3 linked regions of the Diceros bicornis minor genome follow. The protein of the gene in region 3 interacts with the protein of the main gene of each other region in a biochemical or structural test. Links are inferred from orthologs where the notes say so. Each region holds a gene or a part of one and is shown on either strand. Other genes may lie near its edges. The genes, in order: MBP, PARD6B and PRKCZ.

Region 1 (7,474 bases), on a different chromosome or scaffold from region 3:
TTGCCTCGCCACCCCCGATCCCTTGCAGTAAGTCGCTAACACCTATCTCCTCTTGTTCTGTTTCTCTGGTTGAAGCCTGACTGCTACACGTTTAGATGGAGATTTGAAATCTGCTCAGGAGAATGCACTAGCTGCTCATCCAGCATCTCTGCTTAGCGGGAGCATGAGGGTCTCCCTCTATGCTTACTGTTGTGTTAAACCCAGCTCCCAAAGCCCCCAAACTCAGGCCCATTTAAACTTCCTTCAGTAGCTCTAATGGACCAATAGAAGTGTCTTACTGCTTAACAACCACTTAATAAAAATTATGCTAAGTAATTAGAATATTTTCTTTCCTCCTTTACTGATAGCTAAGGAAGTTAAGGAGAGGATGACTAACAGACACACGACAGCACCGTAGAGTCAAATCATTCTGAAGAGGAAGCATATTGTGTTGGGTGTGGTCTCTCATTAGAGGTGGGATTTTAAAAAGAAAAAGAAATGGAAGGCAGCTCTGCAAGTCTGCAAGGTGTCCTATTCACCGAGGCTGGGCAGGGCTGCAACTAGGGGCTGGTGGGAGACTCCTGGAACTGAACTGAACTCCTGGGGTGTCTCTGTGCCTTGGCTTTCTCGTCAGTAAAAACGAGGGTATTTATAGGGTAGTTTTATCAGATGAGGGTATCCTAAGGTAGTCATGACATTTTGTTTTGTTTTGCTGAGGAAAACTGGCCCTGAGCTAACATCTGTGCCCATCTTCCTCTATTTTGTATGTGGAACACCGCCACAGCGTGGCTTGACGAGCGGTGTGTAGGTCCACACCCCAGAATCAGAACCACTGACCCCGGGGCTGCTGAAGGGGAGTGCATGAACTTAACCACTATGCCACCAGGCCAGTCCCGTCTTGACTCTTAATAACGTGGTACAGCTCTCAGAAGAGAGTTCCGCAATTCATAAGGGGTCAATAAATGCTACCTGGATACTTGGATAGAAAAGGCACAGAGGCAGTTGCTAATCTTGTGTCTAATTTTTAAAGAATCTAGAGAGAAACTAAAAATCAAACAGAATAACTTTCAATTAATGTTTAAAAATTCAAGCAGAAATAGAAGTCATAAGAAAGCTTGGTCTCTACTCCTTTTCAGCTTTTAGTAGACACCTTCACTCAGCACAGTCATTGCCAGCATGGACGACACACAAGCCCTGACCTTCAAAACCACGGAGGAGCAACCCAACACCTAAACATGCAACACGGAACATTTCTTAAATTTTCTTATCTTTGGGCAGAGATGTGATACTTTAGAAAGATTTTCAAACCGGATTTGAACCAAATAACTTTTGTTTAACCTCTACTTAATAAAAGTAGTCATTTCAGAACAGTTAAACCCTTGCGAGTTACTATTAACCAACATTTTACAGTAATCTTTAACTGCCTTCTCTCCCTTCAGGTTTTCGTTTATCCCACTTAAAAAAATAAAACCGCCGATGGGCACTTTTCCTTAGCTATTAGGCTACTGGCCTCCCTGCAGGTCATTGTTCACTGAGGGCTGCTCTGTTCCAGGCTCTCGCCAGCTCTGCACACGGGGCCCCAAGGTCTAAAAAGGCCCCCACGTCACGCAGGGGGGGCCTGCCAGCCGGCCTGTGGTGCAGGATTGAGCCGGATTCAGGGTGGTCCCTGACTCGTGGGTGACAGTCTGTAAAGTGTAAAGGGCTTGGCGGGCTACAATCTTCTCCAAACCCACAGGTCTTAAATAGGCAGCACCCTACAGTTCCCTTCCTCTGAAAAACTCTCTTCCTAGCCGGTTGTCCGTGTCCGTTGCCAGAACAGCCAGAGGCCCCCCGGACCACGTTTACAGCCCTCCCAACACATCCCAACTCTCTCACGTGCCTTCCACTGACGCAGAGATAAACTGAACACATGTTGTTGATTCTCACGTTGTCGCAATTGGAAAACAGAGAACCAGGAACCAGAACGCGCTTGTTTCCTGCCAGTCTGACGGAGATCCCCAAAGAAACCGAAATACTTTTCCAAACCCCATTCCGCCTTCCGAAACAGGGGACGCGAGTAGACCCTAAAAGAAATGAGGCGCTGACCACCAGCATCCCACAAGACCAAAGCCAGCCGGGCGTCAGCGGAGTGACAGCGGAACACACGACACCCTCTGGAACAACGAACCCGGCGCGTGGGGCGCAGGAGGGGTCACGGCGCCAGGCGCGCAGATGGCTGCAGGTGGGCCCAGGTGGGTTACAGGAGGCGCAGGTGGCTGCCAGCGGTGCGGCCCGAGCGGGACAGGCCCTGCCAAGGCGGAAGCCAGGCGAGTCGCCTGTCGCCGCCCTCGTCGCTCAAAGGGAAATTGTGCTTCGTCTGGGGCTGGGGAGGCGGGGTCGTCCGCTGGGCTCCAGGCGGGGAATTAGGAAGCACTTCACGCTGGTGGGCACCCCGGCCCACCCGTCGGCTCGCCCCTAGCCCCGTCTCCGCACCGCCCAGAGCGGCCTCTTTGACCTGTGTCACCTCCCACCCCGAAACCCCACCTCTAGGCCGCCCGCTCTTCCCGCCACCCCGGTCGCCCGGCCCGGCCAGAGACCACACCTGGAAATCCGTCGGGTTCCAGCCCCGCCGCCATAGACTGGCGTCTACACCCGCGCCCACTCCCTCGCAGGGAGGCCATGGGGCTGCCACCTGCCTCTCCACCTGCGCCGCTGCCCGGGGGAGCCCCGCGCGCCCTGGCCCGGGAAAGCCCCGAGTCCGGCGCAGGGAAAGAGCCCCCGGCGTCCGCCCCCTCTAGCCCCGCGTCCCGGGCTCCGGGTCCCCGCGGTCCCCCGCTCTGAGGACGCGGAGACAAAGCGCCGCGCCGCCCCCCGCCCCCGGCGAGGATAACCCACCGCACTGCGCTCGCTGCTTCCAGGCCGATGGGCGCCTCGGGGTCCCAGGCCGCCTCTCCGCCGCCCAGGCCCCAAGCGCGGGCAGCGCGGGGTCCCGGGGCCGCCGGCACTGCCTTCCGGGGTAGGAGACGCGGGCCGCCAGGGCCGGAGGCTCGTCCTCGCTGCGCGCGGCGGCGGTGACTGACTGCTGCTGCTCCCGGGCCGGGCGTGCACCCCGCCCCGTCTCCGCCCCTCCCCCGCCTCCCGGGCTCCAGCCAGCCAGGTAAACACCGCGGACTCGAGCGGAGCCCGGCCCACCTGCCGCCCCCGGCCGGCGCTGCCTGCGGGCTGGGGACCACTTGCGGGACGGCCTTGCCACGCGGAGCTCCGGGGACACGCGGGGACCGGGGCGCAGGGTCAGCCCTGGGAGGGCGGGGCCGGAGTGGGGCCGCCGCTGAACTGCTCTTTGAACCTTTTCTCGTGGCTTAGCCTCTGAAACTACCCCCGCCCGACCTGGCCGGGAGGGACGGGAGATAGCATCTCCTCCACGCCCCATTCCATAGGCAGGCGCCCGAGGGCCAGAGCGCGGGCTCCGACTGCCCGGTCAGTGCCGCGTCTCTAGTGCTCGCCCTGTGCCAGGCCGGGCCCTGGAGAGCACCCGGGCATTCGCCTTGCAGGGTCCCAGCACCCTGACAAGTGCTGCGCCGGAGAGCACAGGTTTCCACGAAGAAGGCGGGAGAAGAGCGCTGGTAAAACAGACCAAAACAGGCACAGTCGGAGGGGCGAACCTGGGTCCTGAGGCGCCGAGGCATCTATTGGCTTGTGGTCGGTGTCATCCTCTTGGTCCGTTTGTCACTTGGACACACAGATCTGGTGGAGTCAGAGGGCCCTTTCCCCTGGATTCTTGGCTTCCTCCTGATGGTGAGAAAGTAGGAGGAAGGGGGAGAGACGCCGCCTGAGACCCTAGCTCCCTCCTGACTTAGATTCTGGGTTAGGGAATTGAACGATACTTCCTAGAAGCCCTCGGGGCCCCACACGGTGTTTATGACGGAGAGGGGAAGTCTGGAGCTTGGCAAGACTCAGGGAGCCCCTGTCCCTTGGGCCAGCTCTGCGGGGGACAGTAGAGCCGACTCCTAGTGTGGTTTCAGGGCTGCCTGCCCAGACCAGCCGCCCTCACAGCCCCGGGGATTTATCAACTATGTTCAGATGCTGGTGATTCTGTGAGAAATATGTCCACAGTAATATGAACGCGTAATCTGATCGTTTCCTGAGAGAAGTGGCCAGAGGAGAAACCGTGGGCGTTCCCGGAGTTTGAGGTGGGAGGTCAGGAGGGGCAGGGAAAAAGGGGTGTTGGCTGTGCGGAACATCGAGTTTGTCTCCTTCCCAATGTTTCTGCCCCGTGCCTTCACACTGACGTTCAGGAATGGATAACCGGGGGAGTGAGGGAGCCTGACAGACACTGAGGGCGCACAGGGCAGTGAGTCTAACTGGGGAAGCTCCTAGGTCCCTGGCTCAAGTCATTCTTAAGCCCCGCCCCCAACTCCTTAAAGCTCAGGCCAGGGGACCCAGGACCTGGGTTCCATTTGGATTCCAGTTTGGGCATCACAGACAGCTTGTCCTCTCCCCAGATGTGTCTTTGCTTCTTCCTGGGGAGATGGGGATGCCGAGGAGACTGGGGTTCCTGACTTGCAGATGTCGGTGAAGGCTGAGGCTGGAGAGGCGCACAGACCACTCTGAAACAGCATCCTTTGTTCTTCTGCTTCATGCTGCTTCTGCTGATTTCTCTGTGGTTTATAGAGACTTTACACATACCAACAGTCATCTCTGCAAATGTCAGGCTTGCCAGCTCCAGTTAAAACTCTTTTAAGTATTTGTAAAATTCCACCATGCATATTTTGTGGGGATATAATGCCCCCACATTCATGGGTACTTCAAGGAAAATGTCTGTGAGGGAGGAAGGACCACTGCTTAATAGAGCGATGGATGGGCATTTGGGAGGTCCAGTCTTAGCACCTTCCCCTCTGGCCCACCAGGGAGAGGAGCCTAGGTGGAGGAGGCATACATAGGCCGGCACATCACCATGGGGAGTTGCACTTTGCATAAAGATGGCCCTGTGTCTTTTAGCAAAATGACAGATTCATTTTGCTGAATGAAACTGAAGGGAGTCTTTTGACAAGTAAAGGATGAATGATCCAGGCCTCATCGTCTCTTCGATATTTTTAGGAAAATCATATTGCAAATTCCCTCTACCTCTCATTCACTTCAGATATTGAGGGAAGGAACCTTCAGTCTTTCATACTGCAGCAAATAACACAATGTTTTGTGCATGATATACACTCAGTAAATTTTTATTAAGTCGAATTAAACTCCAAATTACCCAAACTAAAGGAAGTAAGTAAATTAATGTAAATAATTTCCAGTAGACCAGATTGCATGCGTTTTGAGTTTTCTTTACTTTCCCCATCAACAGATTTACCTTTGTAATTATATTTTTGCTTAGAAAAGACCTGAACTTCATTTTCATCCTGGTCTGTAATTAACAATTTGCTGGTGATGTTCGTAAAGCAGATAATCTACCTGTACAGGGTTGAGGGCTGACTACTTCACCATAAATTCCAGTTAATAACTGGATGGCCTCTGCTGTGGTCAGTGGAAGAAAATTAGGTGCACGAACTCCAGAAAATGCAACATAGAAAAAAAAGCCGTTATATGAACAAGGAAAACACTTGAGGGCTCAGCCACACACGCCTGCACAACCAGACACCCACAAACACACACAACTATGTGTCCATTCACATATACACACAACCGCACACACATTCACACACAACCACAACCACACACACGTTCACATACACACATGCACACAACAAGAAACACACTCACAAAAAGCCATTTGTTACTTCACCTCTGGTGAAACATCAGGACAAAAAGAAAGAAAAGGAAATTTGTAGGTCTCTGGTTATGTGGGAAAAAACAAAAAAATCTTTCATACATTTTTCTACCATCAACTTCTTGTATTTTTAAACTGTTTTATAAAGTGTGTGTGTATATACTGTATATATATTTTTCTTTAACCATAGTTCTATAGTTTTGTTAATAAAAATAAAAGCAAACTGCTATCCATAGAGATTAAAGTTGTTCTTAGTGAGCTACAGATATATATTAGCGATTCTCTGTATTTGAGAAGGAAATCTATGTATTTCAATAGATATCATACTTGGTAGTTAACTACCATTCTAATTGCTTCTAGAATTTCTGTATTTTTCAGTAAGATCCCTAACTACGTATGGGTTACTTTTCAATATACCTGTTAATTTCTTAGGGCTCACTGCACTGGCGAGTAGATACCATAAGATGGAGTTAGTTGGCAATTGTATTTTCCAGAGATGGCCTGACACCAACTCCAGTCCCACATATTCTCCTTCCTTTGTGACTGTGACTCATGGCATGGAGAAGTGGGGTCCGTGTCCCCTCCCTGTGAGCCTGGGTGAACCTTGTGACTGCCTCCACTAACAGAGTCAGGCTCTGGACTTCTGAGGCTGGATCATGACAATGCCCTGGAGTTCCCCTTTTCTCTCTTGAGCCTTTCGCTCTTGGAACCCAGCCACCGTCCTTTGAGGAAGCCCAGGCAGCCACCTGGAGCGACCACCTGCGTGTGCTCTTGCTGACAGCCCAGGGGAGGCGCACGCTGACAAATCTTCAGACACACTTCTGTCCCCGTCCCCCTCGGCCCCTGAGTCTTCCCAGCTGAGCTCCCAGCCTCACGGAGCAGGAAGGCGCATCCGCTCCGTGCACTTTCCAAATTCCTGATCCCCAGAATCCAGGAGCATAACAAAATGGCTGTTGCTTTACTCCACTAGGTTTGGGATGCTTTGTTATGCCTCAGTGGTAGCTGGAAGGTCGGTTAGAATGATAAATGGAAGGATGGGGATCAGGAAATGTCGAGAGTGTGGACGCCACAGCCCAGGCCCCAATTTATTACACTCTTTGTAAATAACCATGATTCCACTTCCAGAGAAGAAAGTATTTTATTAACTGACGATTTCATGTATCAAGCATTTCGTTCATTCATTCACTCATTTATTTATTCAGAACTATTTATTCAGCAATTAAATAAGGTGCATCCTTAGAGCCAGATGAAGAAGGAGAGTGGTGAGCCAGCTGAGCACCGTGGAAGGGCAGCCACGTGAGGGGGCGGTGGTGAGACATGGGTCTGGGAAGGCTTTCTGAAGGGAGGGTTTTGATGGATGGGTAGGAGTTAGCCAGATGAAGGGGGTAAGGGAAGAGTAGCCAGCAAACAGGACGACACGTGCGAAGGAGGTGCTTGTGTGAGAGGAGACAGGTGGGGCCGCAGGTGAGAGCCACCGCCAAGTCCTATGGAGGGAAAACACAAAGTGACCATCAAATCCAAGGTTTGCCCACCACGGGGCGCCTGTTGTGAGGCGAGGCGGCTTGTGTGTCTGCACCTCTGTTCTCTACATGGTCCTCTCTCCTTCCTGCCCACACACCCGATCTGCCTTCCTCCACCAGGCGTACGTTTTCTGCAGTTTACCTGAAGTGGTGAAGAAACTTCGTTTCTGTTGAGAACAACTCACTGTTATGGGTTGAGTTGTGTCCCCAGAAAGCTACGTCCTCGTCC
Region 2 (7,257 bases), on a different chromosome or scaffold from region 3:
ATCACACATTTCTGTTTTCTTTCAAGGAATTTCTTGAAATTCTACCAAAGGCTTTGGTAGGCAATATTATTTGCTAAATAATAACCACTAACATTCGCACCACGCTTGATGGATTGCAGAGAAGTGTCACGTATAGTTTCTCATCTGATCCCTGCAACAACGCCATGAGGTGGTCAGTACCATCTGATTTTATAGACGAGGAATCTGAGGCTCTGAGTGGTTAAAGGAACAGGGTCAAGGTCACGTAGCCAGCAAGGAGCAGAGCCAGGGCTCAAATTAATATCTATCACCTAAAAAAATACCAAGATCTGAGTGCCTTCAAATTTAAACCTCTTTCATGTTACTTAAAAGTAAATAAAATAATCCACGGGAAAGCACAGAGCACAGTTCCTGGCACCAGGTCAGACCCTCATAAATGTTAGTTAGTTATCATCATTTTCATCAACACCTCCTAGGAACTGGCATATTTCAGCTGATGAGTGCAGCATGTCTGTTGACTCTGATGGAAAGATTACCCTACTCATTCCAGTTCATCCCTGGTAATGTTGAAATGATGATCAATCTCCATTATCCCTGGGGTACCATAGCATGTGAAGAGCTGGAAGGGACTGTGGAGATGATCTCATCCGGTGCCTGCATTTACAGATGGAGACGTTGAATCCCAGAGAGGGCAAAGGTCAAACCCCTCAAGGGCAGGGCTCACGCACAATGCCTGGCACATACTGCCTCCCACGAAGATGAGTTTTTACCTGAAAGGGCATCTAGCTTCTTAAAGGCTCCAGGAGATAATTCTTTAGCACTCCCACCCCACCCCCACACAAAGTACTAACATGTTATAAGCTATTAACCAGAAAATAGATCATGTGACTTAATTCCACCTCTGCAAAAGGGCTTAAAATGCTTTGGTGAGTCGTCTGAGATTCATAAATATACACTTCAGCTCTTTCTCAGAGAATTATTAACCAGCTCCATCAAAAAGGGAACTTGAGCAGTCAAGGAGAAAAAGAGCTGGTAAGAGAAACTTCTTGAAAAAAATCTCACCACTATTATACATGGTTTCTTGCCACCTCTTTCTTTTTTTTTTCCCTAAGAATTGGAGGAGGAAGGAAAAAGTATCATTGTGTAAGACAAGAATCAATAAAAAATAATTGTGGAAAATTACAAACTCTTTCCACTTCGCAAGGTAGATACCGAACAAACACAACAGTTGTGTTACGTCGTAGAAGAATGTAAAGACAGAAAGTATTGAACGGGAAGATAAAGCAGAAATGTCACCCAGACTAGCTTCTTTCAGAGGGTAGAGATGGGCCAGAGAGATCTGACAGTGTGTGGGTGTAATAATCAGTGGCAGCCCATTCCCAACTAATGAGTTTGTGAACCTATAATTTATAGAGTCCATGTCACACACTCACCTTACTCATCCCCCTAACTCACTGAGTATGAATCCTCCCAGGCACGGGACTAGCTTTTCATCCCACACGTAGGTCCTGATCAGCTTTAACTTGAGGATTTGGGGGTGGGGAGGGGTGATGGAGAGAAATGAGATTAGGGTTCAGTCTTCAAACCAAAGAAAGAGGAAGATAAACTCCTCTATGCCATTTCTCCAGGCTTCATGCTTCTCAAGAAAGGCTGAAATTCAGGCCCCGCGAGCAAACTTGTGGCCATAACAGCTCTTGGGATGAAAGGGTTCCCCTCCTCCACAACACCTTTATCAAATTCAAGCTATTTTCCACATTCCTGCCTTACACAACCCAGGCGCACTTGTGACGCAGGCCGAAGAGCAAATTCCGCTCAGGAGATCCAGGAAGCTCTGGTCTGGCCCTCCCTTCTAGAAAGGAAAGTCCAAGTAAAGAGGGATGCCACACCCGGGGGAGGGGAGAGAGGACGTGACAATACCTCCAGGAATGCAGGGCCCACACAGGTGCGCTGGCACCCACGAACTTCCTTTTGAAAAGGGCCTGATAAATCAGTACGGATAACAGTAATAAAGCTCAACCCAACAATCGCTCACATAGAACTGGGGCCCTCGCTCCCAGGGTGTGGCCCCAGCAACTGGAGAGAGGAGGGTGGCAGTGGAGAATACAGATCCCTAAAAGTGGTGACATGGTTCTAGGGAGCGGTTCTCAAAGTGCGGTCCCTGAGGCCTTTTCAGGGGATTCTCAGAGCCAAAACTATTTTCACAATACTAAGATGTCACTTGCTCTCCTGACCCTCATTGTCTCACAGGTATATGATGGAGTTTTCCAGAAGGGACATGATATGTGATATCATCACCCTGATGACTACAGGAATGTGTGCTTGTATATTCTTGTGTTTTACAAATTTTTCAGTTTTAATTCTAATACGATGCATACTGAAAGACATAACACACATAAACAAAATACTTGGGGGCCCTCCATAATTTTTAAGAGTATCAAGGGGTCTTGAGACCAAACTGTCACGCTCCCCCATCACAGGACCACACTTCATTTCCAGCTCAGCTTGAGTCACCGAGCAGGTGCTTTAAACAGGGGGTGGAGGAGGCAGCCTTATTATTTAGCTTGGGGTGTTATCCCTTCCATCCGTACTTCCACCCAAAACAGCCAGAAACACCATAAATTCTCCCACAAACATTTGGTGAACTGAACCACTCAGGGGGAAAGATGGGTTTCTCACCTTTGAACTCAGGTGGGGCAACGTTAGCACAGAGAAACCACACTCCCTCAGCTCCAGCACCCAGCAAAGGCATATCTGAGTACCTGCTGGGAGTCAGGTACCAGGCTACATGCTGACAGTGAGCAAAGCAGATGTGGCCCTCGCCTTCTCAGAGCTTCCATCCTAGGGCAGAGGTGGATGACTCCTGGAAAACATGGGAAAACTGGGACTTGTCACAAGTGCTGGGAAGGAGGGGTGCGAGGTGTCAGGAGGGACGTGAAGTGGGCAGGAGATGAGGGGAGCAAGGCCCTGAGGACTCAGGTGGAAGGCAGCACCCTAACCAGCTCTTCTTGGCCGTCTGGGATTAGAAACCCCGCCCACACGCCCAGGCCCGGCTACAGGAGGGCTCAACAGCTCTGATGAGCGGTCCCACCGGTGAGCCCTTCTGCAGGGTGGGGGGACTTGCGGGTCTCCTCCTCACCGCCCCAGCACGGCCAGTGCTAAACAGGGTCCCTCTGAGGAGGCACTGGGGCATTTAGAGAGAAAGATTTAGTCTTTTGTTATCAGGGAAACGAAGACAATCCAAAGGCTGTTATTGGTGAGAAACAGCAAATAGCCAAGAAAGGGCTAGAGGAAGGGGAGAAGACTTCAGAAGTTAAAAATAAATAAAAAAGAAGAAAAGAAAAACAGAAAGCCCTGGAGGGCTGGTCTAGGAGAAGTCCTCAGGGAAGGCGGACTTGCGAGGAGCGAGGAGCCATCCCGGGCCTCAGCTCACTTTCCCTCCCTTCCAGCGCCCGCTCGACCCCTTGGGACCTCAGGGACGAGACGGAAGAGTGTCTACGGACAAAACCACGCCAGGAGAGCCCTGAGGTTCTCCCCAGTAACTGCTGCAGGAGCGAGAAAACTGGAATTTTGCAACCACAGTTGCAACCAGACGCCTAAACGACGCAAAGGGGTGGTGGAGGAACATTGTTGCAGGCTGCAACAGCCCTAAGTGGAAAGGGGAGCGGGGGAGGCCGGAACCCACCAGCCCCGCCACGTCCCCGCAACCTGCCAGGCCCCGCGTTCCATCACCCAGCCGGGCGCGAGCTCCCGCCGGGACCCGGGCAACCAGGCGCGCGCCCGCGCGTGCGCACAAGGCCCACCCGCCCCGCTCGCCTCCAGGTGCGCTCGCGCTTCCGGCCGGCCGTCCCCGGGCGGAAACCCCACAGCCCGCGCATGCGCTCTGCTGCTAGGTCGGGGAGGAGGCCCACGGCTTCAGGTGATCCCGCCCCTCCCTCGCAGCGCGGGACCAATCGCGCGGCTGTGGGCGGGATTTTCGCGAAGGCGGCCCGCCCACACGCGGCGCGAGGCGTGTATCGATTGGTTGGCGCCGTGGGCGCAGGTGCGCGCTTCCTATTGGGTGTGGGCGGGGCGCGAGCCGCGGAGGCTTCCGCGCAGGCTGCAGGTGAGCGCGCGCACGCGCCGCGGCTCCCGCCCGGCTCGAGTGCGCGCGCGCGGGCTGGCGGGGGAGGCGGCCGAGAGCGAGGCTGCGGCCCCGTGCCCTCTGCCCCGCCCCCTCCTCCTCCTCCGCCTCCGCCCCCTCATCCTCCGTCGCGGCCGCCGCCGAGGCCCGAGGGAGGGAGCCGCGTCCCCGCCCGCCGCGCCTGCAGTCCGACCCTCGGTCCCGCCGCGCGAGGAGCCAGCCGAGCGGAGCTGTGCGCCGAGACCGAGCCGCGGCCGCCCCGCCGCAGGTGCCTGTGAGACGCGCCCGGGCCGCAGCGCGTCCGCCGCCGGCCGCGCGCTCGCTGCCCGCGCTCCCGCCGGGCGGCCCGGCCTCAGCATGAACCGCGGCCACCGGCCCGGGGCGGGCGGCGGCTGCCTGGGCACCATGGAGGTGAAGAGCAAGGTGCGCGGGGCCCGGGCGGGGCGGGGCGGGCCGGCCGGGGGGCCGGGGAGCTGCCGCGGGGTCGGGGGCGGGGCGGGGCGCGGTGGCGCGGCTCGCAGGCGGCAGATGGTGGATGGTGAACTTGCGGAGAAGGGGCTAGGGAGGGGCCGCGTGTCTGCCCCTGCCCGGGTGCGAAGACCGGCGGAGCGCCTGATCGCGGTCCTGGTCGAGGACGGGAGGAAGGGCCGGGGGTCCGCGAGGGCGGGAGGCTTGGAGCGCGGCGTGCAGCGAAAGGTCGGGGGGGTTCTCCCTCCCGGCCTGTGAGTACGAGGTATTGGAAACACCCGTTCCGCAAGATGTTCCCCCTCTCTGGGGTGCGGGAGTGCATCGAGTGGGTCGCCCAGGGACGGAAAGAGCGCTTTTAAAGTTAGCTTTGCCTCTTGCTGGGGATTTTTCTAGCACTAACTTTGGTATGCATTTAATCTAGAAAATTAACGCTATCGCCTTTCCTTCGAGTAGCACTTTACAGTTTGGGTCTGGATGCTCTTTTCATTCCATCCTGCCACCTTTTCACATCAAGTGTTTTCATTCTAGGCCAGCGGTATGCCAATCTGCTGATAATTACGTCGGTATCTACTGAATTCCTAAATTGCAAGGCTGTCTGAGCAGGAGGATAGTCTGTGGGGATTAGTTCGGGAATGCTTTCCAAAGGGGGTTTTGAACTGGAATTTGAAGGTGATCGGCAGCCACGGGAACATTTTCAGTGAGCATTTCATGAATTGAAGAGCCAGAGGGAGCTTAGATAATCTAGTCTGTTTCTCCAAGAAGACAGAGGCTCAGAAAGGTTATGACTTAGCCAAGCTCTGCTTTTATGATGAAATCTTAAAGCCTTTTTTACAGAGTAACTTTTAGGCGTATAGAATACAAAAGAGAGGACATTGGCTGGGCCCTGAAAACATTTGAAATAGAGTTGGGAAGACCAAAACACATAAAAGAGTAGGAGAAAAGTAAAAGCATATCAGCTTCAAAAAATGGAATATCATTGAATGTGTACTTAGGGAGAATGCAAAATCAAGGAGTGATTTTAAGTGATAGAGTAAAGCTCCCCGCAGCCTGTGGTAGAATGGTTTTTATTATCTGGAATTGATAAGCAAAGTTCTGTAAGTTGCTGAAACTGAGATTATTCCTTCCAGAATATCTACATTCATTTTTAACATCATTTTACAGTGTTGTTTGCAACTTAACTCATGTATCAGGAGAGGCAGTAGTTTCAGAACCCATTCGGTTTAATAAGAATAGAAATGTAATGATAGCAATTTAAGCAATATGCTCTGCCCTGTGTCCTCTGTGGAACTGCCATAGCAAATTGAAGTGACATCGTTGAACTGAGAGATAAGATGACTCAAAATGTATAGAGGTTTTCCCTTAGCAGTGTAGTGGCGGTAGTGGTTCCATGCCCAATAGTTGAGCCTTGTCGTGGCATTTCTGTAATACATTTACTTTGGGCTTGTGGGAGTTGAGGTTAAGAAAAGAAAAACACTTGTGATATTGCGTAATCTTAAAATTCAGTTTGTGGTCCTAATCTTGGTAGTTAAGCCTCTAATTTTTTTATCATAAGAAAACATGAGTAGGGATTTTAGGTGCACTGATTAATACAGTCAAATAGTAATTTATCTCTCAGACTAGGAAACCTTGAGCACTTGGGGACTGGAATTGCAGGCTTTCTGCCCTTCTCTTCTGTCATCTGATCTGTGAATATTTCCCATACTTATGTCTAAACTACATGTTATATATTTGACCTGCCATACTGCGCTTTTAGTGAACCATGTCTTGTAAGAGAATCAAGGCAGTCTGAGAACCTGCACCGAATGAAGTGTGGTCCCACTGTTCTAGCTGTTCATAAATAGGCTCAGTATACGTATTGTTTCTAGGGTGTCTGTGATACCTCACGTTCGAAATATATATTGTTGATACATTTATTTTTAGTGGATTAAATGAAACACTTGTCATCTTGACCATTTGAAATACTTGGTCAGATGTTGGAAACAGTATTTCCCTTTTCACTGCTTTAATGATGTCACAAGCTTTTTACAAAACTGGTGGCTAAGAGATCGTAACCACAACTAGGTGATGTGCAGATTCACATTTCAGAATCTCTTTTTCTTCTGTAGAGAAAACAGTAGTATGAACTTTATTATCTTTGCTCGTGGAAGGGGAGATGGTACAAATAATCAAAGTAATGGATAATGCAGAAGTAACTATAGTTAAATTGTGATACCAGCTACCGTGTCACTTTTCTTTGGTAACTGATTTATCTTGTTTCTCTTGAGTCGGGAGTTCTTAATCAATCATCAAGGTGGTGTCCTTTAAGAACCTTGGAACAGTCTTTGAGCTGTACGTTTCCTAATTATTTTTCCTGGGCAAACAGGATATTCAAATAAAGTTTGCATTTCTACAGTGTACCCACATCTTGGGAGAAGGGTGTCCATACGCATTCTGGGTGGCCAGGACAAACTAGACCAGCCTAAAAAAAGTTGTAAATGGTTTACATAGTGAAGAATTGTTGATTGGGTCTTAATTTGATCTCTCTCTTCCTGTTTTTCTTGATGTAGTGAAAAGTTCTCTTCATCCTCTTGTTGTGCTACAAGAAGCATAACAATTTCTCTTGTTGTTTTTCTGCTAACGTTTGCTAAAGGGCACATCTACGGTGAAGCCATACAGTTTTCCATTGTTTCTATCATAACATTTAAGCAAGA
Region 3 (7,227 bases):
ACCAGCCCCAATGTCAGCCCACTCCTGAATCAAGCAGCTCCTCTGAGCAAACAGGAGCTGTGGAGGCCACCAGCTCAGGGCCCCAAGTCAGAGCCCTGGGCAGCAGCCACCAGGAGTCTGCACCCAACAACCTGGTGGGCTGCCCCTCCCTGGACTCCTGGGTCTCCCTCCGGCCGCAGTACCCACCCCTGGGCTTTGCACATAGCAGGTTCTGGAACAGAAGTTCTGGAACACAAGCTTGAGCTGGAGAGAGGGAGGGTCCAGCACAGCTGTTGCTGTGATCTTAGACAAGCGGGCAGAGAAGGTCTGCAAACTCAGCACATCAGCTGGAGTCCCCTGAGAACGCAGGTACCCAGGACCCCACCCAGACTCGGGGACGGCACACCCTCCGGAAGCCCAGCTGGGGGCAGGGAGACCCTGGTCTCAAGCCTTCAGAGCGCCTCAGGGGACGGGCAAGGGTGGCGAGGAGAAGCTATCACTGTGGGGGCGGCTGAAGACCCTTCCAGTTTCAAGAAGAGTTTTCAACGTGTCTGACCCTCAGCTCCTGGCCGTGCTGCCCAAAAATGCCCTCCCTCCCGCGGCAGCAGCAGACAGAATGTCACGTGGACCCGCGGGGTCTGCATAAATGAGCCCCGATCTTGGTGGGCGTCTTTCGGGCCCAGGGTCACTGCTGTGCTCTGAGGACTAGGTCTCCCAGCTCAGACAGCGGGGTTTCCAGTCCTCAGGGAGGGGCACCGGGGCAGAGCACTTTAGGAAAAGCAGGCACTGGAGGGAGTGAGGAGATGGGAATGGGAAGGAACCTTCAGCTCAGCCTGGGGCAGAAAGCAGGAAGGGTGTGGGAGGGAGAGGAGAAGGAGGAGAGGGGCTGAAGAGGAGTGGGGAAAGAGAGAGAAGGGGAGGGAAATGAAGCAAAGAGAGGAGGGGAAGAGGTGGGGAGAGAGGGAGGAGGGGAGGAGGGAGGAGGGAAGGGGAAGGGGAGAAGTGGAAGGGGAGGGGGAGGGGCAGGGGAGGACGGAGTAGAGATGGGAATGCAAGGAAGAGGAAAGAGTGTGGGGGCGTGGCCTCATCAGCCTGGGGAAACCAGACTCAACAGGTCACATTACCCCTGGTAACCAGAGCGCTCTCCAGGGGCCAAAGCCAGGGGAGGGGTGGGTGGGCGGGTGGCTCAGCCCAGAACTCCCCCGGGCTCCAGTGAACTTTGCCTGTGACCCCCTCGGTCACCTCCATCCCCTTGCTCAGTGCCTGGAGGTGCCTACTTGAACTCGCCCTGGGGAAAGGCTGGGGGGTCCAGTCCCCACCCACCCGGGTGGCTCCGGGTGTGGACTTCCTCTCATTAAGGATCAACTCTGATTTTTACAGTGGCGTGTTGCTCAATTCCAGGTTCCCGGCAGGAAAGAGGACAGTGTCTCTGATATAGTGACGCCTTCCAGAGTTCACCCCTGCACAAGCCAAGATGCTCTGGCCCCTGGACGAGTCCCAGAACCAGGACCGAGCTGACATCTCACCAGATTTAGTGGGCAGCCCACCCTTCTCGGCCAGAAGATAGGACTCCCCGCCTCTTCAGGTGGGCTGGCCGGTCTGTCTCCCAGAAATCTTTCTTCCCTCCGGTTCTGCCACCAACTCCCCTCCCCCACTGTGCACCCAGGTGACCCGGCTGAGGACGGCAGAGGAGACGGAAGAGGCCTGACCTGAGACACCAAACCAGGCGCGCTCCCGAGGTCAAAAGCCCGAAGCCCCTCCTCCTCAGGTCGGAGGACGCGCCGGGCTCTGGCAAGACCCCATGGAATGCCGCTAGAGCCGAGACCGCCAAGTTCACACGCAGGGCTGGCGTTCCGCTCCCCTCCCGCCGCCCCAGCAGTGGCGACCGACTGGAGACGAACACCGGTGGAAAGAAGCAGCAGCAAAGGCGCCTGGTTCTCCCTCCAGCGCCGTCTGCACTGCTCAAGGTGGGCAGCGGGATCTTGGCCTCCGGGCGCAGCCCCCTAAACTCTCACTAGTGCTGTTCGGTGGCGGCCAAGCGTCCAGCGCTCCCGGGGCCGGGCCAGACGCTCCCGGCCATTGACCCTTGTGAGGCGCCCGCTCGCCCCATTTCACAGCAAGACAGGTCGAGTCCAGGGCGCCGTGCGCGTACGCAGGACCGAGTCCGAAAGGTCCGGCCCCCAACGGAACCGCGCGGGAGCCTTTCCAGGCGCCCTCCATTCGTGCGACCACGGGCAGCTCACCGCACCTGGCCTTCACCTCGGTCATTAAACTTTTCTTAAACTGAGACCTCTGGCCGGGTAAATTGGGGAAAAGTTTAGAAACTCCGATTTTTAAAAGTCTGCCAGCAGTTTTCACAATTTGATAAAAACTTTAGTCCTTACAGGTTTGTGGCCTTAAACATCCTGGCCAACTTTCCAGGGAAAATGTCAACATTGTCCCCAGGGCTATGGGGCGCGCGGCGACGTCGGGGCAAGTCCGAGCGCCACCTCGCCACGACGGGGGAAAACCCGCGTGGCCACCTGCGCCCGCTGCGCTCCAGGAAGGGCCCGGCGACCCTGAGCCTTGGGCGCCGGGGACCAGGCTGACCCCGCTCTGCCCATGAGGTTTCCCGCGGGTGACGTTCAAGGGCGCCCGCAGCACCCGCAGCTCCCGCCTCGCCTGGAGCTGCCTCTCGGCGCTGGTGCGTCAGGACCTCCCGGGGCGCCCCTGGGCCCAGAGGGGCCTCGCTGTCCCCTCCCTCCCGCAGCTGCGGTGACACGGTCCCCGACGGTCGGCGCGGTCCGGAGCTGCTCCCCGCGTCCCGCTCTGCCCCCGGCCCCGCCGGCCTCAGTACACACGCCCCCGGCCCCGGCAGGGCCCCGCCGTCGGGCGCTGCGCGCTCACCCGTTGTAGTGCGCCTTCAGGCGGACGCGGCCGCCGCTCCCGTCCATCTTGGGGCCCGTCCTGCTGGGCATGGCGCGCTCCGCCGGCCGCCGTCAGCGCTGCGCCCCGGGCGCTCGGGCCATGGCGCGGGGCCCCCAGAGGCCGGGCCGGGGCGCCAGGTGGGGCCGGCGGCGGAACGCGGAAGGGAGCGCACGGCGCAGGGACCGAGGGGCGCCGCTCCGGCCAACTCCGCGGAACTTGGGCGGCGGGCGGGGCGGGGCGGGGCGGGGCGGGGGCGCGGCCGGCGAGGGCGCGCGCGGGGGACGCGCACGGAGTCCCGGCGCCAGGCCCCGCTGGGGGCGGGGGTGTCCGAACATGGCCGACCCGAGGCACAGCCGGCGGCCAATCGGCGGGGCGGGCGGTCCTGGGGCGGGGGCGGTGGCACCTGCGGCCAATGAGGGTGAGGCGGGGCCGCCACCTGGGCCAATCCCCGGGGGACCCCGCGTCCAAGGCCCAATGGCGTGGCGCTGGGCGGACTACCTGTCGGGCGGGGCGCGGCCCACCTGCGGCCAATGGGAGCTCGCGCGGCCCAGCTCTGCCCGGCAACCGAAGCCAGTGCGTGCGGCCCGGGGACACCGGGACCGTCCGGCGCCCCCCGCCCGCCCTGCACGCTGGCCCCTCCGTGAGGTGGGCTGCGGGGCTGCGGTTCCTGGGGAGGGCCCCTGCGCTGCCGCACCCCGGGAACTTGTTGGGAATGCCAGCTCTCGGCCCAGTCCGACTCGCTGAATCAAAACTCCAGCAGTCTGCGAACAAGCCCGGGTAACCTCTGGGGCGAGGGCGAGTCTGAGAGCCGCTGATCTAGGGGACAGCGGGGAGGGGTCGCCGGTGACGTGAGGGCGGGGGGCGCGGCCAGAGGGAGCTCCGCCTCCTGAGAGCACGCGTGCAGCCAGCAGCTCAGACCCCCGACTGCAAAGGACGCTTGGACCGCGTACCCAGCGTCCGGCCAGCTTCCAGATGCGGAGACGGAGGCTGCGAGGAGCAGAGAAGCCGGCCAGCGTCACGGCCGGGGAGGTCCGGGCTCAGCTGGTTCCCCCGACCCACCCGCCCTCGTTCCCGTGCGGAATCCAAGATCCCATTGCAGGAAAGGCTCGTCTACACTCGCTAGCCGGCTCCCTCTGCTCCAGTACACTCCTCTGCCCAGGACAAGAAGACTGCATTTGCCCAGGCCGCCCATGACTTTCATTTCTGAATCCACAGCCTCTCTGGGTCTTACTAACTCCGTGGCATTTGACCTGGACAGTCACCTTTGACACCATCCACACCCCACACCACCTGCTCAGGTGCCTGCGTCCTGGGCCCGTTCCCCTTAAATGTGGGCTCGAGCTTCCCTCAGGAACCCATTCCTTACTGGTTGCGTCCACAGGGACCCAAATCTGCTGTTTGCAGGACCTCAGCTGGGCACTAGTTGGGCACGGCAGACTCAGAGGTCTGCAGCCCCTCATCCCTGCCACCCCTGCCAAACACAGTCTTCCTGTCAGCCTCTCCCCTGCTGCCTCCCTCCCCTTCCCCACCCCACCCGGTTGGCAACCTCTGACCCAGACTCCAGTCCCAGCCAAGCCTTCACCACTCACTCCCCCCATTCACACACTCGTTCATTCCACAGATGCTTCCTGGTGCGTCCTTGGTGCCAGGCACTGGAATGACCCTGGGGAACCAAATGGACACAGTCCCTCTGCTCATAGAACCATATTCTTCCTAGAGATGGACCCAGAGAAACCTGTCGACAGCCTACCTCTCACCTACTTAAAGTGCTGTGCACTCTCCCCCATAAAGGAACCTCTGGAGCCAGCCCTGATGGCCTAGGGTTAAAGTTCTGCCCAGGTTTGGCTTCCTGGGCGTGGAACCACACGCTCGTCTGTCAGTAGCCAAGCTGTGGTGGTGGCTCAGACAGAAGTAGAAGGACCTCCAACTAGAATATACAACTATGTACCGGGGCTTTGGGGAGGAAAAAAACCTCTGCACCATCCAGCCCTCCATCCACCCGCCCATTCCTCTGCTCCTCTACAATGAAACTCCTGCCAGGAGCTGTCCGCAGCCCTTAGCTCCACTTTCTCTCTCCTGCCGCTTAACCCCTCCTCCCCCCACTTTCACCGCCAGCTCCTGTGTTTTAAGTATAATGGCCATTTCTCAGGCTTTGTCCTAATTGACCCTTGTCAGTGTGTCCCCTGGAAACTCTCACCTTAGGATGCTGCTCTCTCCCTTCTCCTCCTCCAGCTCCCTCTATGGCCTCCTCCTGGTCTCCCAGCCTTTAATGCGGCCCCCCCCATCTGGTCCTCTGTGTCCCATCCCGCCACCCCCCTCAGTCTTTAGCGAGTCTCAGGACCTTGAGCTTCTCATTTCCTCTTAGGGCTCCAAACACCATCCCAAGCTCAGATCGCTCCCTGAACTTGGGAGCCTGCTTCCCCCACCACACACACTCAAACTGTCATGCTAACAACCCCCCTCAGCTGTGCTCTTCTCCATCCAGTCGGTGCAGACCCCCCCTTCCCAGGGGCTCAGCTTGAAACCTCGGAGTCACCTTTGCCTCCTCTCCCTCTTACACCCCACACCTCTCCACCTGCAAATCCTGGCGGCTCCACCTTCAACATATTTCCGGATTCCAACCACATCCCACCACCTCCATTGCTACCACCTGGTTCCAGCCACACCCTCTCCTCTGTGCTGGGATTTTTGCAGCAGCCTCCAATTTTCTTAGAACATAAGTCAGTCCATGTCCATCTGTCTGGTTTTCAAAACCCCCGATGATTCCTATCATTCTCAGGAAAAGCCCACAGGCCCTACAGGATCTGGGACCCCAAGCTTTTCTGCCCTCATCTCCCACCATCCTCATCCTGGCTCACTCCACTCTAGCCACCTGGCTCTCTTTGCTTCAGGGCCTTTGCACACGCTGTTCCCTCTCCTAGGAGCACCTTCCCCAGACCCACACTTCCTTTGAATCTCTACTTAACATCCCTCAAGCCTATATTAGCAGTCTGCTCCCCAACCCCCACCTCGCGGGGTGACGACTCCATGCCCCCGGCATGGGCACGCAGAGCTCTGTGGCTGTCATTTGGGCATGAAGGGAAGGGGACCGAGGGTTTGCCATGGGAGGGGAGCAGCCCGGTGCTCACGGGGAAGGGCAGGAAACCCTGAGCCACGTGAGCAGAAACCCCGAAGGCAGGTGAGTGTGTGGGACACAGCTCCCCCTGTGCCAGGCCCCTCAGCCTGGGGGAGGGGGAGGGGCCTATTCCAGGAGAGGGGGTTCACACCCCAGTCTTGGACCACATCCAGTCCCAGGCCAGGGTGAGGGCATATGGGTCGCCTGCATTGCCCAGAAAGCTTCCTGAGGCCTCCCTCACAGGGTGGAGCCCCCCTTTTGTATTCTCAACAAGCTCTGCAAAACAACAGCCCCCATCCCGCTGGCAGCCCAGGCCAGCGCCTGCCTCCGGAGGGCAGGGGTGGATCACTGTGGGGGGAGGGGGAGTTCCTGGCCGCCACCAGTGCTGAGCCACTCCCGCGGAGCAGAGGGCAGAGGGCTGGTCCTGAGGGACAGGCAGCCACGCCTGGCCCGGCGTTGCTGTGTCCACTGCGTGCCCTGCACCCTGGCAACCAGAGCAGGGTGTTTATTCCCAAATTCGCCGACCACTTCCCCCTCTGGACATGGCTGGAGTTGGGACCCCATCAGCCTGGGCCACTGCTGTGTCCCCTCTGCGTCTGCAGGCGTGTGGCACACGAGGAGTGAATGAACAGGTGGAGACCTCTTAGAAGGGCTGGGACCACGTGGGCCCCTAGGACCTTGGGCCCTGTCCTGGGGTCACAGGGCAGGGTTGCTGCCTCTCCCTGTCTGCAGTGTGCAGAGGCGTAATGGCCAATGGGAGGACCTGGAGGTGACCCTTGGGCCCAGGCGCGTGCCGGGGGCCAGACCTGAGGGTGGGTCTTTTTCACCTCTCTGCAGGTTCTGTCTTCCCAAATGTTCGCCAAGACCTCATACACTCATAATCACCAACACCTCTTCTTTCTGTAGTGAAAAAATACAACGGTGTGTTGTTGTTTTAACTGGTTATAAAAGTGACATGGGCTTTTGTAAAACTTTACAACAGGGAACAGTGTAGAGAGAGAAGCCCTCCTGACCTGTGCCCCCAACGCCTGACAAATCCAGTCGGGTGGGGGACATGCATGTCGAAGCCTTCTTGTCCCTCTCTTGTCACCTGGGACCCGAGGGCAGACGGAGGTGCAGGGTGGCCCCCAGGTGTGGGGCTGGTCGGGGGAGGAGGGTGGCCAGCCAGCAGAGGGCAGAGGTGGGCTGCCTGGCTTTGGGCCAAGGACCCTCGCCCTCCAGGCAGC

The links.
Region 1: of the proteins of PRKCZ (region 3) and MBP, one has a biochemical effect on the other in vitro, tested with the Homo sapiens proteins (2 studies listed by BioGRID). The link is inferred for Diceros bicornis minor from reciprocal best matches to the Homo sapiens genes PRKCZ and MBP.
Region 2: the proteins of PRKCZ (region 3) and PARD6B form a complex in vitro, tested with the Homo sapiens proteins (2 studies listed by BioGRID). The link is inferred for Diceros bicornis minor from reciprocal best matches to the Homo sapiens genes PRKCZ and PARD6B.

Annotation. Positions count from the first base shown.
Region 1 is NC_080755.1:65,461,239-65,468,712, forward strand, and holds the start of MBP (myelin basic protein), read right to left. Parts: upstream 3,035-7,474; 5' UTR 2,854-3,034; intron 2,411-2,853; exon of another isoform or gene 2,147-2,410; intron 1-2,146. UniProt on the Homo sapiens protein: The classic group of MBP isoforms (isoform 4-isoform 14) are with PLP the most abundant protein components of the myelin membrane in the CNS. They have a role in both its formation and stabilization.
Region 2 is NC_080758.1:11,471,228-11,478,484, reverse strand, and holds the start of PARD6B (partitioning defective 6 homolog beta), read left to right. Parts: upstream 1-4,237; 5' UTR 4,238-4,456; coding exon 4,457-4,522; intron 4,523-7,257. UniProt on the Homo sapiens protein: Adapter protein involved in asymmetrical cell division and cell polarization processes. Probably involved in formation of epithelial tight junctions.
Region 3 is NC_080752.1:22,812,396-22,819,622, reverse strand, and holds the start of PRKCZ (protein kinase C zeta type), read right to left. Parts: upstream 3,093-7,227; 5' UTR 2,937-3,092; coding exon 2,866-2,936; intron 2,267-2,865; exon of another isoform or gene 1,646-2,266; intron 1,565-1,645; exon of another isoform or gene 1,188-1,564; intron 1-1,187. UniProt on the Homo sapiens protein: Calcium- and diacylglycerol-independent serine/threonine-protein kinase that functions in phosphatidylinositol 3-kinase (PI3K) pathway and mitogen-activated protein (MAP) kinase cascade, and is involved in NF-kappa-B activation, mitogenic signaling, cell proliferation, cell polarity, inflammatory response and maintenance of long-term potentiation (LTP).